Linked DNA regions of Arabidopsis thaliana. The protein of the gene in region 2 interacts with the protein of the main gene of each other region in a biochemical or structural test. Each region holds a gene or a part of one and is shown on either strand. Other genes may lie near its edges.

The links. Proteins that work in one complex are often made in the same cells at the same time.
Region 1: the proteins of SGT1A (region 2) and PBS2 form a complex in vitro, tested with the Arabidopsis thaliana proteins (one study listed by BioGRID).

Annotation. Positions count from the first base shown.
Region 1 is NC_003076.8:20,998,717-21,006,484, forward strand, and holds PBS2 (cysteine and histidine-rich domain-containing protein RAR1), read right to left. Parts: upstream 4,571-7,768; 5' UTR 4,428-4,570; coding exon 4,320-4,427; exon of another isoform or gene 3,609-4,319; coding exon 3,606-3,608; intron 3,507-3,605; coding exon 3,424-3,506; intron 3,325-3,423; coding exon 3,170-3,324; intron 3,075-3,169; coding exon 2,845-3,074; intron 2,759-2,844; coding exon 2,657-2,758; 3' UTR 2,428-2,656; downstream 1-2,427. Other genes in the region: AT5G51680 (hydroxyproline-rich glycoprotein family protein), read left to right, coding at 1-39; ACS12 (1-amino-cyclopropane-1-carboxylate synthase 12), read right to left, coding at 299-1,148, 1,257-1,417, 1,673-1,807, 1,900-2,241; KEA5 (K+ efflux antiporter 5), read right to left, coding at 5,850-5,900, 6,027-6,122, 6,224-6,268, 6,365-6,442, 6,540-6,728, 6,824-6,919, 7,153-7,206, 7,312-7,408 and 2 more.
Region 2 is NC_003075.7:12,296,505-12,304,955, reverse strand, and holds SGT1A (phosphatase-like protein), read right to left. Parts: upstream 5,079-8,451; 5' UTR 4,942-5,078; coding exon 4,782-4,941; intron 4,207-4,781; coding exon 4,134-4,206; intron 3,947-4,133; coding exon 3,822-3,946; intron 3,674-3,821; coding exon 3,571-3,673; intron 3,497-3,570; coding exon 3,400-3,496; intron 3,318-3,399; coding exon 3,252-3,317; intron 3,159-3,251; coding exon 3,020-3,158; intron 2,927-3,019; coding exon 2,847-2,926; intron 2,763-2,846; coding exon 2,658-2,762; intron 2,571-2,657; coding exon 2,463-2,570; 3' UTR 2,237-2,462; downstream 1-2,236. Other genes in the region: AT4G23580 (Galactose oxidase/kelch repeat superfamily protein), read left to right, coding at 1-710. UniProt on the Arabidopsis thaliana protein: Functions in R gene-mediated resistance, but participates in a lower extent than SGT1B to RPP5-mediated resistance. Not required for RPM1, RPS2, RPS4 and RPS5-mediated resistance.

The DNA.
Region 1 (7,768 bases), on a different chromosome or scaffold from region 2:
GAGTGGAAAAAATACCAACCGAGGTTGAAGCTCATTTAGAAGAAAACACTTATAAAGATCCTCACAATTTGTATCCCCAAACAGCAAATTTTCAGGAGACGTTTTCTCTTTTAGAGAAGAAACTTGTATATGCAGTACCGTAAAAATAGATGAGAGATTCAATGCCATACTCTTTCAGCTGCAGGACAAGGAATTCATATCGTTTATTTCTTTCTTCTCTTTCAAGCTATAACGACTTGCCAAAATAATGTCTACCAATAAGTAACAATACCACACTAACCAAAATTCTGGTTCGACCTCAAGATCTAAATGATTCAGCAAGCTGTCTGATTCGTTCCATAATCACTGGGATATCTTCATCAGCTAAAGCGGTGAAACAGCACCTGAACCAACCTGGTTCTATACAATAACAGGCTGTTCCTGGAGTGGCATTAATCTTAGCAACAGTCAATAGCTTCTCAAATAACTCGAGTTCTCCTTTCTCACTGTAAGATGTCAGTAAACTGCTCATGTCTACCCAACAATACAACCCACCACCACTCTCAGCACATGGTATTCCTAATTGTTTCAAACCTTCCACAAACCGAATATGCTTATCCCGGATCCTTTGCCTGTGTGCTGCCATGTATCCCTCAATGAATCTTACATCAGATAGTAGAGAGATAAGTATCCTTTGAACTAGAACTGGCACTGATGAAAATCTCATCAGCTTCTTTGCAGCATTTACTACGTCTTCATGAAAGGAGTAGATGACTCCAGCTCTAAAACCAGGAATTGAAAGGTCTTTTGACAAGCCATATATGATATGAACCCTAGTCTTATCAAATTCCCCTGAGCCAGCGATCTCAGCCATGCTAACAAACTCTTTGTCCCCGTAAACAGAACCCGCAAATATTTCATCAGAAATAACATGGATGTTCTTCTCTTGAGCAAATCTCAAAATATCACAAAGCGTCTCCCTTGATAGTATGTTTCCAACAGGATTTGACGGGTTTGAAAAGAGGATGCCAGAAACCTTGCTTCCTCGTTTTCTAGCCTGATTCAAAGCTTGTTCCAGTGCGGAAACCGTTACAGTAAAATTGTCAGAGCTACGGCAGTGTACTGGTATAAGCTCCACTCCTGTCCGGAATTTAATATCCCTATCAAAGCTGCAAAATGAAGTTTCCTTAGTACATCGCATAGGAAGAGAAGACTGGTGTATAAATCAAAAAGTTTCACCACATACTAATGGTCGAGAAGTGTAAACTAAAAATTACCCTGGATAATATGGCGTCGGAATTAGAAAAGCATTTCCATGATCAGCCAAACAGAAGGCCAATACTTCAATAGCAGGAGTCCCACCGGCTGTTATAACCATATTTGAGGGATCAAATGACACATTACCTCCCATTATTCGTGACATGAAATCAGCAAAAGCCTGAAACATGATAGGAATAGAAGAAATTCAATTTCCTTCGCTACATTGTTGGGACAACTAAATCCACAAGTTTGAATACACAAATTTCTGATATATAATCAACATTCCTTTGATCCTATACAAGAACATATATCAATCAAACCACTTCTAATTTCTGATACACGTTTGCAGTCAAATATTTAACTAATAACTGCAAAAAGCTATCCTTCCTCAAAAAATTTGAAGAATAAAAAAGTGAATGGTGTATGCACTTACCACTCTGAGTTCAAGTAATCCTTCAAAAGGTTTATACATGGCGATACTACTAATATCAAATTCACCATCATCAGATTGCATCATTGACTCCATCAAATTCTCTGACATCCATCTCTGTAGCAAGTCAAAGCACAGCTACAGAACTCACAAAAGCAATCCCCATCAGATTAAACCTCATCGCAACAATCACAAAGAGAAGAAATCATCGAGAACTTTTAAAATCTCACCGTACTCTCGGCTAATCCAAGCTGAATAATCCCATCCGTGTTCGTAATCCGATCGTACGGATCCGTTTTGACTCTCTCCAACCCAATGTAATAAGGCGAATCGGAAGGTTTAGCTACAGGAACTGCTCGGGAGGAGACTCGAACTCGTCCGATCGAGTTCCCGCGAGAGAAGAGATTAGTCCGTGAAAAAGTTCTCGGTAAGTCCGTCGGGTCGGAGGGAGGAGGACGGCGTCGTTTAAGGTAGAGCTGGAGAAAGTAGAAGAGACAACAAGGAATGAGAGAGCCGACGAAGAGACCACCACGGCCTTGAATTACTCCACGGAGAGGTACTATCAACCTCATCGGAAAATGCTCCGCCGCGGAGATAGTTGTTGCCTCCGGCGTTGAAGAGAGATTCGAGCCGTTCGTTGAGAGTAACGAAGTTGAAAAAGAGTCGAATAAATACAAAAGTTTTGAGATAAATTGGCAAATTATTTTTCCATATTCGCAATTTGTCTCTACGTTTTAAAAGTTGCTAAATAGTCCTTCTAATATTGGTGAAATTATTTAAAGATCTTCAAAGTTTTGAAAACAACAATCAAAGCCATAATCATGATCCAAAACACAGAAGATGAGCATTTAACCATTACATATATCTGTCAACTGAAAGGTTCTATAACAAATCTAAAATAGAATTCCATATGATAAGAAGAACATGAAAACACAATTAGAAAAGATGATTAATCTTTGAATCGAAAATCTCAGGAAAAAAAATATATCAGACCGCCGGATCAGGGCTGCTGCTATGCCATCCTTTAGTGCAAGGAGGTATTTCCATGAACTCGTCGAACTCCTTCACGTGAACATCGCAACATTTCCACTACACAAAGAAAACAGTGATATTCAATAGAAATTCAAACAGTGAAAGAAAAGGGTCACAAAATGATTGAACAAAGAACGTGTTACCCCTCTCAGTCTGTCGTGGAAGACCGCAGGACCTGGATGATGGCTACATGCAGTCTCATGATTGTCTCTCTCTTTGAATGTTTGGCCACATCCTTTGTTTTTGCAGACTTGCGGTTGATTAATGTCTATCACAGCCTTTTGTACTGGAGGCGCTAAGGGTTCAATTTTTTCTTCTTCTGCTTGTCCCGGTGTGTTCAGGGTCTGCTTGATCTGTTCTTTGGGTTGGGATCCTGTGTGGTAAAGAAGGACACAAAATTAGATAGAAGGTCATGCATGTAACCAATGTGCAACGAGAATTTAAAGACGAGAGAATAAAGATACAAACCATGGTCTGAGCAGAAGAAGCCTTGCCGGCATCTGGAGCAAGAGTCTTTTGTTGCTGCATTGGCATCTGGAGATGAAGTAGGAGCCGCAACAGGATGTTTTGGAACCGATTTGGCCAGAACTGGTTTCTCAGTTGTGTGTTTACCTGTTTTACATCTTCATTGCAAGAAACATCTTCAGTGTTTGCAATCAACTACAATATGTACCATGAAAGACAGAGGAATTATTATGAGGGGGTACAAGGATATTAGTTACCCTGGAATTTCCAAGAACAAACTGAAATCATGACTTCTTTGCTTGCAGCAGCTCCACTCTTTCATTCCGTCGTGAAAAAATGGCTGCAAGTTTGAACTTTGGTAGCTTTAATTCTCTGAGCAAGCGAGTGTGAAACAAAAAAAAAAACATAAAACAGTATTTGAAGAGTAAATTTGACTTACTCCCTGCTTGAACAAAAACCAGTAGTCAGTGCAAAGACCAGCCCCAGCCACACCGGAAAAAGAAAAGATAATAAAAGAAGATGAATTACAATAAAAAGCTCAAAGCAATAGATGAATATGAAAGAAACACTAGTATACAAGGCCAAATGTTAAGATGAATATTGAGATAAAGCCTTCTTTCTATACACAATTGTTCTAATTACACTTCCAGGGACAGTCTTAACGAGCTCTCTCCCTCACATAGCCATAACCGGTGGCAAAAGTTGGAAGCAAACAATTCAAAAGTCGCTGCATGTACGTACACTCTCCCTCACATAGCCATAAACGGTGGCAAAAGATCTAATACTTGGATTATTCAATTTTACGCAATATACTTTTGCTTTCTTCCATCAAGTGTTCTAATAAGCTCACAGTCTCACAGAATTCATAGGTTGCAAGCAAACAACTTAGTTAAAATTTGACAATTAGACAATCAAAGCTGTGTTCAAAGCTTACTTACTTACAACTAAATGAAATCTACATGTAATCAATCAGCTAATCCAAAACCTAATTAAACACTTGCGTAATCATCTTCTCATGATCAAAAATCGAAATTCGTAACCTCACATCATAAAATCAAATTCAAAAGCTACTCTATGGGTTTATCAGAAACTATCGAAGACTTAGAAAAGAAAGAGAAGAATCGATTAAAGATGGGGAGAGAAGAAGACGTACGGAAGCATGAAATTGACAAGAACCTTGAGGATTGTCGTCATCGGTGAACATGGCGTTGCAGCCAATACGTTGGCACTGAAGCTTCTTCGTTGCAGATCCTACTTCCATTATCTCTCTCGTGAATTTGTGAAGAAATCGGACGAATTGAGAAGGTAGGAGTAAAAAGTATTGGGAAATCAAATTAAAGGGCTTTTTCGTCTTTTAGAAAATTTTGACTTTTGAGTTTTGACCGGTAATGAAAACTGATGAGTAAAACGGGCCTCGGCCCAAATAATACCATGCAGAGCGGGCTTGGTCCGCTTGGACATTATTTTCATGTCCATAAAATAGCATGCGTGATGGATAATAAGCCAATATGTTACAGATTACAGGTTTTTAAAGAGTTTTATCCACGGATTTGTAGGTCTAACCCACAAGAGGAAAAATATGTTGAATGATGGGAGTGTTATTTTATAGACCTAAGCAAGTGATTTAAATGTCGGACCTATTTTGATGTTTTTGCAAAGTTTGTGCAAAACTAATCTTAATTATTTTGTTTTTCTATTTGTATATATTTCCGTCTCCAAGTTTGCTTGTATGGCCTATCCCCAAACTTCATCTACTACGTGGAAAGCCATGACTCCGGAAAATTCAATCTCCGTAATGGTGATAAGAATGGTAGATTTGCTATTTAACCAGCTGATACAGGAAACTCAACAATCTCACAAATGAAATCGAACTATAGATTGAAACGATGTTCATAAAACGCAGATTCACTTCTCACTATGCAAAAATCTCACATTAAGATTTGCCCGTAAATAAATAATATTAGTGAATTGAAGGAAGTATCTCAAACTAACAATGAGTAACAACCCCAAACACACAAGAAAGGAAGAAGAAGAAAAGTTTACAATTCTCAGATTTTTGCATAATGAAGAAGACGATGAACAACTTGATCTTAAGCTTGAGCAACTTCAGCTCATACCAATCGAATCCACGTATCTTTTCTTATTTCAACCAATCACTAAGCTCCACGTGTCCTCATATATGTGCTACTAAATTCCTATTTCACCAGCCTCTTACTTCATTCCACCTCAATCCTTTTCTATACTTTGATGTCATTGTTCTTCTAAGGAGGGTTCTTTTTTGTTATTTTTGTTGTGCATTGCAATGGATTTATACCTCTAAATTCATCTAGTTGTTGCTCGCACTTTAGATATGTGGAGTTTGAGCACACAATTATAGAACTCTGTGGTTTCTATTGAGATTCTTATTTGTGATGAACATTAAAGAAACAACAGCATATAAGGCTAATATCGTTACAACGTTTACACCAAGTAAAACAAGCTATAAGCGCTTGAACTACACAAGAAGGTAGTGAATACTAAATATATACGATATTACAAAAAATAAAGAGTTAAGAAAATACAAAAAGCAAGTCTTGGATCTGATTTGGTCAGTTTCAAATGTTTTTTCTGCCTCCTAGTTGAGTATATCGGATCAAAATCTGTTTTTTCTTCTTAAATCTTCAGTCAATGTACAAAAGAGAGATCACTTGGTTCTGTTATGTACTTCTATCAATGATGCTTTCTCCTGCAAACTCTACAAACAAAACTCTCAGTCACGACCTCACAAGTCAGTTTCCTATAATCAATACATCTATTTTCATTTTTATGTCATGTCTTATCTCAGTTCTTAAATATAAATAGATCTGGAAAAGAGAATGACCTCGTTCGGAGAACTGTTCTCAGAAGGGAACCATCGAAGCAGGACACCGAGGTTCATTGCACTCGGTATTAACTTGAATAGCAACGGAGTCGTTACCTGTAACAGCATTTTCAGGTAATCAGTTTTGAACTAAATATTATTTTAAGTATGTTCTCTTAGAATGGAAAAGGCTTGTTTGCATATATTAGGTAACTTACGAGACTTAGAGCAGTTGTGCCCAAAAGGAGTAGATACATTTTCCCCTACATTGGTCATTCATATTAATCCCAAAGCCACAAAGTTTAGGAAGAAGAAAATGGTAAAGAGTGTGTTCAACTACAAGGGTAAAAGGGTGTTACCTCGATTACGTGTAGGTTTGACGCTCGGCTTAGAAGAACAAAGGCGAACTCTCCAATCTGAGCAAGCAGTACCCCGACCTATATATAACATTTGTGACAAGAAATTTACGTGATTGGTTTTAATAGTATAATATGTAGAAACTCACAAAAGCTTAAGTAGAGAGACCAAACTCACATGGAAAGATATCCTCATGTTGTACCTAAAAGCCTTAACAACTACTGCTGCAATTGCTGTCTTAATAACTATCACTAGAATCACCGACGCTAGAAGGATATCCACGTGGTTCCATAGAAAGTGAACATTAATGAGCATCCCGATACTAGATAGAAAGAGAGCGGCAAACAGATTACGAATTGGTTCCACCTACATCACAAAGTAAGGGAGATTCCACCACCTTAAGACTTCATTTTGTACCACGTACTCGCAAAGCAAAAGCGACCTGAGTTTAGAATCAATACCTGCTCTAGTGTATGTTGAGCAAATTCAGTCGTAGACAACATAACGCCAGCCACAAATGATCCCAACTCAAGACTAAGACCCAGCTTGTCACTGCACTGAAAAAGTTTTGCGAGGAACCAACACTCTAAGTTAAAAATTGGAAATTACATCAATATGCTATTATACTTAAATACTTCAGTGTCTATTGTAATCATCATTTTTTTCTTCTGTAGTCTATTAGTAAGATGCAAGCTCAGGTAACAATTAACTCAGATGTTATAATACACCAAAAGGGATCAGAAAGCTAAGCAAGCACCAGTATGCAAAGAAATGACAGAATTAGACTTACCCATGCAGATAGTAAGCAGAATGCCACAGCAGCTAACTGGTAAAGTTCATTTGTCTGCATTATATAATGAGAGACATTGGCAATAATTTGGATCCCACTTTAAGAAAGAAATAAAGATAGACAAGTAGTGTATATGAAGATATGACGTCTAAAACGTACTTGAGATGATAATTGAATCATTAGCTTCAGAAAACGAGGTACAAATGACCACGTTAATAGAGATGCCACAGTGAGATATATGGACAATATCAGTAGCCTAAATTAGAAGAAGAAAATGTTTTATGTCAGAGACGGTAATGAGGATATATAAGAGGTTCCTGGACAAACTTCTTACTAGGGAACCACTTACAGCTTTCCCATTGATATAATTCCTTGTAGTAAACCACTGTTACCACCCAAAACTGGAAGCAAGGCGAATAGTAAACCAACAACACAGTCCTGAAAATTCAAGATTAAGCTAAAGGAAACAAAAATTTCGTAAAACGAAATATTCAATTTGTAAATATAGAGTGATGTGAGTGAAACCTGAAAGATAAGTATCCCTATAGTAACTTGACCATGAAGAGAACTTGTACTGTTCCGTTCTACCAAAAACTTTACCACCTGGTCAAATTGA
Region 2 (8,451 bases):
GCGTTATGATTATGAACTCTCGTTCTCACACATGGCATGAAGCTCCAAGCATGCGGGTGGGCCGTGTGTTTCCATCTGCTTGTACTCTTGATGGGAGAATATATGTTACGGGAGGCTGCGACAATCTCGATACAATGAACTGGATGGAGATTTTTGATACGAAGACTCAAACTTGGGAGTTTCTACAGATCCCTAGCGAGGAGATATGCAAAGGCTCTGAGTACTTAAGCGTAAGTTATCAAGGAACCGTCTATGTGAAGTCTGATGAAAAAGATGTGACTTACAAGATGCATAAAGGTAAATGGAGAGAGGCAGACATATGTATGAATAATGGATGGAGTCTGTCGTCATCATCATCTTATTGTGTGGTAGAGAACGTGTTCTACCGTTACTGTGAGGGGGAGATACGTTGGTATGACCTCAAGAATAGAGCATGGACAATTTTGAAGGGCTTGGGAAGATTGCCTAGTTTGCCTACTTCTCATTCAAATGTTAAATTGGCGGATCATGGTGGAAAAATGGCGATTTCTTGGGAGGAGTATATGTTTGTTGATAGGGAAAAAAAGATTTGGTGTGCGGAAATTGCGATTGAAAAACACCAAAATGGGGAAATTTGGGGAACGCTTGAGTGGTTTGACAATGTGTTTATATCCAAAACGCCAAACGGTTATGTGGGTTTAGTGCATGCTCTTACTGCTACGGTTTGGTGAATTTTGTCAACCACCCATGCAATATTTATCATTTTCTTTTTGATAGTCTTGTCGAACTGTTTGTCTTAGATTTTTTTTTCTTCTTTTTTTGCAATTTTATTTGGCAACATGTAACTATCAAGTTCTTGTTGCAAAGCTGGCTCACTTTGATAAATCATTCATCATTCAACTAAAAATGTTAACTGCCTCAATTTTTTCCACTATTTACATGTTTTACCGATGTAAAGACTTTGAAAAAGTCTTGATATGGATATGTATCATCATAGTATGTCTTCCAATATTTAGTGTTAAGTTTTTCATTTAAGTGTGGGTGTAACATTCTAATGAAATCTTCACCCAAATCTTTCAAGAAGCCAAATTGGCTTTGTTTTTTTGGCTTTCATTATTAACTTTGTTACATTAGAGATCAAACAAGGAAAAATACACATGAGAGATAACAAATGGCGTTTACTTCAAAAAAACCTCGCTACTTAATCTCACTATACAATCTGAATTTGCAAAAACAGTTACCACAACTTCCTCTGTCTTTTTGGTAGTACTCGTGTCTGTTTAACACTCAAGAATATGAGATATATATTTAATGATTCTTAAAAACTTAGCATTGTTTTCTACAATACATGTACTTGGCTTTAGCTGGTGCTGCAGTCGCAGGGGTGACATCAACAGATACTGGTGGTGCTGTCGAACTTGAAGGCAAAGCCGAAGGCACCGATTGAACCAAATCTTTCTCTTATCAAGGTGATCAAAGAAGATACGTTGGTCAACCTAAGATAGTTCATTTATTATAAGATTTTTGACGGATGAAATTGGATCAGAGCCTTTTAGGGTTTTTTTTGGCTAGTTGAGAAAACTTTAGATTTTGTTAGTTAAAACAGGTGTGGGTAGTTCATATATATAGATCATAGGCGGCCTTAAAAACAAATAGATTTCTTCTCCTATTACGTGCGGCTGATTGGATTATTGAACATTAAGGATTATTGACTCGATGCTCTGATCACCTGCATAATCAAAAGAATATTCCATGTCAATATATATTAAAAAATCACAATTTTATCGGAAAATAAAGGTTGTGAGATGTAAAAATTTTACACAAATAACGTGGGTTTTTTATTTCTTTGGAATATATGGAAGTTTAAGTTCGAAGGCTCTATATGTTCGAGAAGCAGGATCTACAACAAGTTAAATTCATTTCTTTTAAAGAAAACATATCTCTAAAGATGTCGAATCCAACATCTCTACCTAGAAAATATACCATTGGACAACACCAAGTCGGTAACGTAGTTCCTTTCATAATTACAAATATTGTATAACTCTTTAATAAAAAATCACTTTCTCCATACTTAAGTTTAAAACGACTCTAAAGTGACAATTTACAACTCGATCGAGACGACTCTAAAGTGACAATTTACAACTCGATCGAGAGGTTAACTCAATTCTTTGACTTTTAACTCCATACTTGGGATATATTTGGTTTTGTAGACTAATTAAGTAAGTTTTAACAAAAACTAAAGAATAGTGATCATGATGAAATTATGAATACTCAAATAAAAACAAAAACAAAAAAGTTGAGACCTAAAGACAATATAACTCACAAGTCACAACATAGCAGAGGTAGAAAGCCATATTTAACAAAAAAGCAAAAACCTTAGGATCCTCATTACAGGAAGAAAGGGACCAGGTTTCAAGATTTGTCTACATTTAGGCAAAATTCACAACTGCATAAAAAGGAAAGGATCATCATATCATATCAGATCAGATCTCCCATTTCTTGAGCTCCATGCCATCCGGAGGAGTACTCTCGATTGTCTTAGTCCCAACCTCTTGCCAGTTTGTTGACAGCACTGTCCCATTCGATTCCACCTGCTCATTGTTCAAAACCCGAAAACCATAAATGAGTCGATCAAAAGGACAAAACTTTTACAGTACTCCATGAAAAGAGATACTCACAAATGATTTGCTCATCGCTCGCCTCATATCCTCATCCGCATTCTGGTATATCTCCCGGAAGAATTTGTTCAAAGCTGCGTCTCCTTCCAGCTTCTCATCTTTTTCCTGCAAGTCAACCACAATCAAACAAAAGAAGAGAAAAAACAAAACCGTTTGGTCGAGGTTTTAAGTACATGGTAAGAGACGGACCTGCTTCTTCACTTCAGCTTCCAGCTTGTCCCAGTCCTTAACTTTCTTAGAAGATGGATAAGCTGGCCTCTGTGAAACCTCTGCATCATCATACATACAACATAAGATTTACATTACAAGAGACTGTTGTTTAAGCTCATCAGATGACACTGAAGAAGGAAAAGGTAGAAAACCTGATGAGACATTAGGCTTTGGCAAAACCGCTGGCCCTTTGCCGTGTTCGAGGGAGGCCCATGTGATTATATCGGCTTTTGCAAGACAGATCTCAATTTTGGTCGACAATACTTCATATTTGCACTTATCTGGTATTATCTGAATATACACCGTAAAACAAAGTCATGTAACATGTTCAGCTCAGAGTGTTGAAAGAAAAACCAACATTAATTCATTCAACAGATAAATTACCTTTCCAAACAATCTCGGTTGGAGATAATACGCATCCTCTCCAGGAACCTCAATCACAACACTCAGCTTCAAAACACAAAACAATACCATTAACACACAAGCACACAGAAGTGCCATTGAGTTGGGTTCTTAAGAGCCTTATACTCACAATTTGTTCACCAAAGTCGATGTTAACATTCTGCTTGGGTATTCCTTTTGCAAAAACAGTTACCACAACTTCCTCTGGCTTTTGGTAGTACTCGTGCCTGTTAACACTCAAGAATATCAGATATTTAATGATTCTTAAAAACTTTGGTATTGTTTTCTACAATAAAACTACCTGTACTTGGCTGTAGGGGTGACATCAAGTTCAGATACTGGTGGTGCTGTCACACTTGAAGGCAAAGTCGAAGGCACCGGTTGAACCAAATCTTTCTCTTCTTCTGGAAAAAGGATATTTACAAGTTCCATAGATCAAAACCTTAGGTGAATTACATAACAAAATATTTTGCACCATGGCAAACAATACAATCACTCTAGGCATGTAAACATAATCAACCAGAAAACAAGAAAAAAACACAAAAAACATACCTGTGATTAGAAAATTGCATTCATCTATCAACTTCTTAAATTTGGATTCACTCGGCGTGATAGAGGCACCCTTTTCAAGAGCTGTTTTAGCAGTCCGATACTCTTCAAGCTTCATACAGGCAGTTCTACAAATACAAAAACCAAACCATGAACAATGGAAGTAATAGCTTGACAGATATATACCACATTTGCAGACCATATAAACTGGTAGTAAAACAATCTAAGGACTAAGGAATCAGAGAAAATTAAACTCTCACTACAACTTATATACGACTTAAAAATGTTACATAGGAGGAAATAGCAAAACGTTACCCTTTTCTTAGGTAAGCTTTGGTCAATGAAGGATCCAACTCAATTGCTTTGTTCGCATCTGCCACGGCCTCTGCTCATTGAGAATCAAATGAGACCAAAATCTTATCCAACTAGTAAAGTTCTATGATACTACGCTAAAAATGCAGAGAATACTTTCTTAAAGCAAGAAATAGTTGAACTAAAGACTAATCACTCAAGCAAAAATTGAAACTTTCAATACTCCGTTAATACTTAACACTATCTGTAAACAAAATTCTCCATATTCACAATCAAAGAATCAAAAGACTAGCACAGCTAAAACCAACTTAAACCAATGTTTGAATGCATAACTTGTAAAGGGCACTCGCTACTGATAACAAATAACTAAATTTCGTTTCTCATGAAAGCAATTCCGATACATTGTTCCTCCACAAACAGCAAAAGAGAGACACATTAGTATCAAATTGATACGAAAGCTTTAAACTTTCGAAAAGAATTGTGACACTATCAAGCGACAGGACACAAAACGAAACCCTAAATACACATAATCCAGCAAAGTCAACAACTTTCAGCTATGATGAAGTAAGAAACCGAAAACATACAAAAACCCAGAACCCCAGAAGGCGTCCACGACAGTAAAAGACGAAGATAACAGAACAAAGAAGCTACCAGTGAAGCTTTCGAGTTTGATATAGGCCTGAGCACGATCAGCGAAGAACTCAGCGCAATTAGGATCCAAGTCAATGGCTTTGGAGTACAAGTCAACAGCAACATCGAAGTCATCGTCTACGAAAGCCTCTTTAGCCTTATCAGCAAGCTCCTTCGCCATCGATTGACTAAGAAAAAAAAACAGAGGAGAGCTAACAAAGACGATGAAATCAAAACAAGGAGGGAATGAAGTAGAGGGCAAGGTTTGTTACTTATTGCCACAATGGAAGGAAGGAATATAAAGAGAGATTGGATGTTATCGTTCTTCTTCTAGATTGTTCCTTCGTTTTATGCGACTTGTGTTCAGGGAGTTGAAGAGTTCGAACCCAAAATAAAATTTATAAAAACAATAATTTAAATATTTTTCTATTTTTTCCACAAAGTTTCTCCTTATTTTTCTAAAATAATATATTTCATTTTCTATAAATTTAATTTTGTGTGTACATCAAATATGTGAGATTTGATATTATTAAGAAAAATAGGTGAGGTCTCTAGTGTATATATTTTCGTTTAAAAAAAAAAATATATATTTTGTACATGTTGGAATTTTGTTACTTCACTTCAAAAACATTTCATGTACTTTGTCAAGTTTTCTAGAGTTAAAATAGTGTCTGACTTAGATGATGAATAACTGGTTTAATTTATTATGGATCACAAATTACATAGTGGATTTGACAATTTTATGATTAACCAAAGTGGGACTATTGCCTTAGAAAATATTGTTTTCCTAGCAGTTTCGTGGAACCTTATTGGAAGATTCAAATATGTGTGGATAGGGATGGAGAAGTCAATTTATTAGTGTCAAGTGGATGTGGTGAAGTCAATTTAAATAGTATCATATCAACTTTGCTTATGAGTTGAGTTGACCCACAATAACGTTAAATATCAACCTGCATCTGTAAAATTCTTTTTTTTTTTTAATGTTTAGTTCAATATAATTAACCTTGTTCCTCGTATATAAAAAGAAATCTGTGACAAATAGCCGACAAAAAAAAAATCTGTTGGGTTTGATTTGGACCGGAATATAGACATTGCGGCCTATCAAGAAATAAAACTTGGGCTAATCAAACAACGAAAGCCTGCCTATAGTAGATACGAGATAATGTTGATGCTCCCTCATCGGAAGTTTGAGGATGGGCACTCGTGTGTAGCATAGTATAAATAAAGAAGATGGTCGAGGATTGCAAATTACTTACCTGGACGGGGTTTACGGGTGATCATGAAGATCCGTGGCCTAGGCTGGTGGCTTCCTGCACTTGAGGTGCGCTAAGCCAAAGGTCACCCCAAGTGGGAGATCCTGCGTCATTATTTGTTGCCTTGGGGGCCTGCGTTCGCGCGGCCCCTTCCATTTCCAATAGTTCAATCTTTTGATCGTCGTTTTGACTGAGTTAATTAGAGCTAGATCTTAGTCAATGGCTCATGTTACATTTATTTTCACAGATCCAGAAGAAAAAAAAATTCTGTCTAAGTACCAGCTAGGCTGGTTATTGGATAGTGTTAGCGATCCAAGACACTGATGGAGGCAAATCATTGTAATGGGCTCATAGTTGCTGTTAATGGATCTGGTGCTTCTCAAATATTTCATTTGGTTGCAGTCTAACACAAGTTTGCGTTAGAGTGTTAGTGGCAAAAGCTGAAAGTTTCAAGCCCTTATGGTGCAAGATTGATTTATGCCACAGATCAAATGTTGTGGAAGCGGTGCGCATTGCATCCTTTGTGGATCAAACCATTCTCTTTGTTCGAAGAAGTGTAAAGAATGTGTCAAGAATTTTGGCAGCAGAGACGTGACTAGTAACTTTGTAGCTAAGTTCATTTCTTTTAGGAACATTAAAGTTGGCCCAAGATTTATTTACTTGTAGGATTTTGTTGGCGTTTTGCCATATCAGCTTTATCTTTACCTTTTTATGGATGTTTCCATCTTAAAAAGTACAAGATCCAAGTTTCTCTCTATGTAGAAAGATGAGCTTGAAATTGATTTCTTATCCAAAAGGTGAACCATATATAGACACATACACTAGACTCTTTGCTCAAGGTCCGTGGCTAAGGGGGATTTTAAATTTACCATTTTTGCTAGTATTTAAACCATGAGTCTCAGTCTCACCATTATTTTAACAATTTGATCAGCAAACATATAGAAGAACAATTTCAGAGCTCCAAGGCTACATGAATTTGCATCAAGACTCCAAATAATTGGTTCCAGTTTCAGAGCTCTGCTCTAGATGAAAACAATGATCTCTAATTAACTCCTTTCATTTTGGGTTTCATAATGACAATAAATATGACAATGCTTTAAACAAAAAAAACATGTAAAGTAATAAATGAAAATGAGCTTGGCAGAGTAATTAACGCATTATTATTAGGGAGTTGTAACGTACACGAATTTGCGTTAGGCGAAAAGAGAATAGTGGACATAAAACTTTGTCACATGCTTTGCCATCACGCCCATCACCTTATAACCATCGACTCTGACCAAAATTATTATTTTAAATTTTGTATTTATAAACAAAAACTTTGATGTTGAAGACGTCTATATTGATCTCATTTGGCAGAAATTGTGAAGGTAAAGAAACAAAGTAGAAATAAATTGTGAGAATGAGGAGCATAATAGTATCACTACAGCTAAACCAGGATTAAAACTAGAAATGATTTCAATTTTTAGAAACGATATGATAGAGTGGCAAATTAACTCTTGAAAAAATACTCCATATGTTTCACAAACAATGTCGTTTTGACACTTTACTAAACTTATACGGTACCAAAACCGTGAAAATAACGTCAATCATCATCAATCATTTAGAGAGAAATTAAATAAACTATTGTGTATATAATTGAATTAAATTAAATGAACTAATACATGTATCCAATATGATCATGAACTGTACTGTCCCTAGTTGAGTTCCGTTTTATTTCATCATTAAAAACCCAATAACGAAAGAGGAATTAAAAACATATATACGGTGAACACGCATGCAAGAAATTTGTGCAATAGGTTTACACTTAGCAGGAAAAGAGGAACAAAAAACAATTAGTTATAATAACTGATAACTGAAATAAGTTTATGACAACTGAAAACAAAATAAAATAAAAACTAACGGCAAAATCTAACATTGACGACGTTGTAAGGAATGGGTGCTGAAATGTTTTTATACAGACATTTCAACCGCACGGCATCTCCATATTACTACGTACTAGTCCAGTCAATCAGTATTCTCACACGTGAAAAACGACACTTTGCGTTTTCACATCTAGATAAGATTGCCTTTTCTTTAGATCAAATTTTCATTTTACCATTAATCAAGCTATAAAAGTGAACATATTTACAATATTTACGATGATATGTTATATATTTAGTTCGTTACATCATCTAATAAGTTTGCAATTTCATTTTCCAAACGGGTAACTAGTAAATGTTCAATTCAATTTCTGTCAAATTATACATGCGAATTAGGAAATGAAGTTTGTTTATCTTTTCTGCATGTGAAAGTATTATTTGTTTATCTTAGTGAACTTGGATTGTGGGATACATTCATTATCCATCCAAAATATGGGATTTTTTCTGCTTGACTATTTATTATTAGTTTGCTTGTATATCCTAAAGTATAGGCATGGAATCGGCGTATTTGATTTTGAT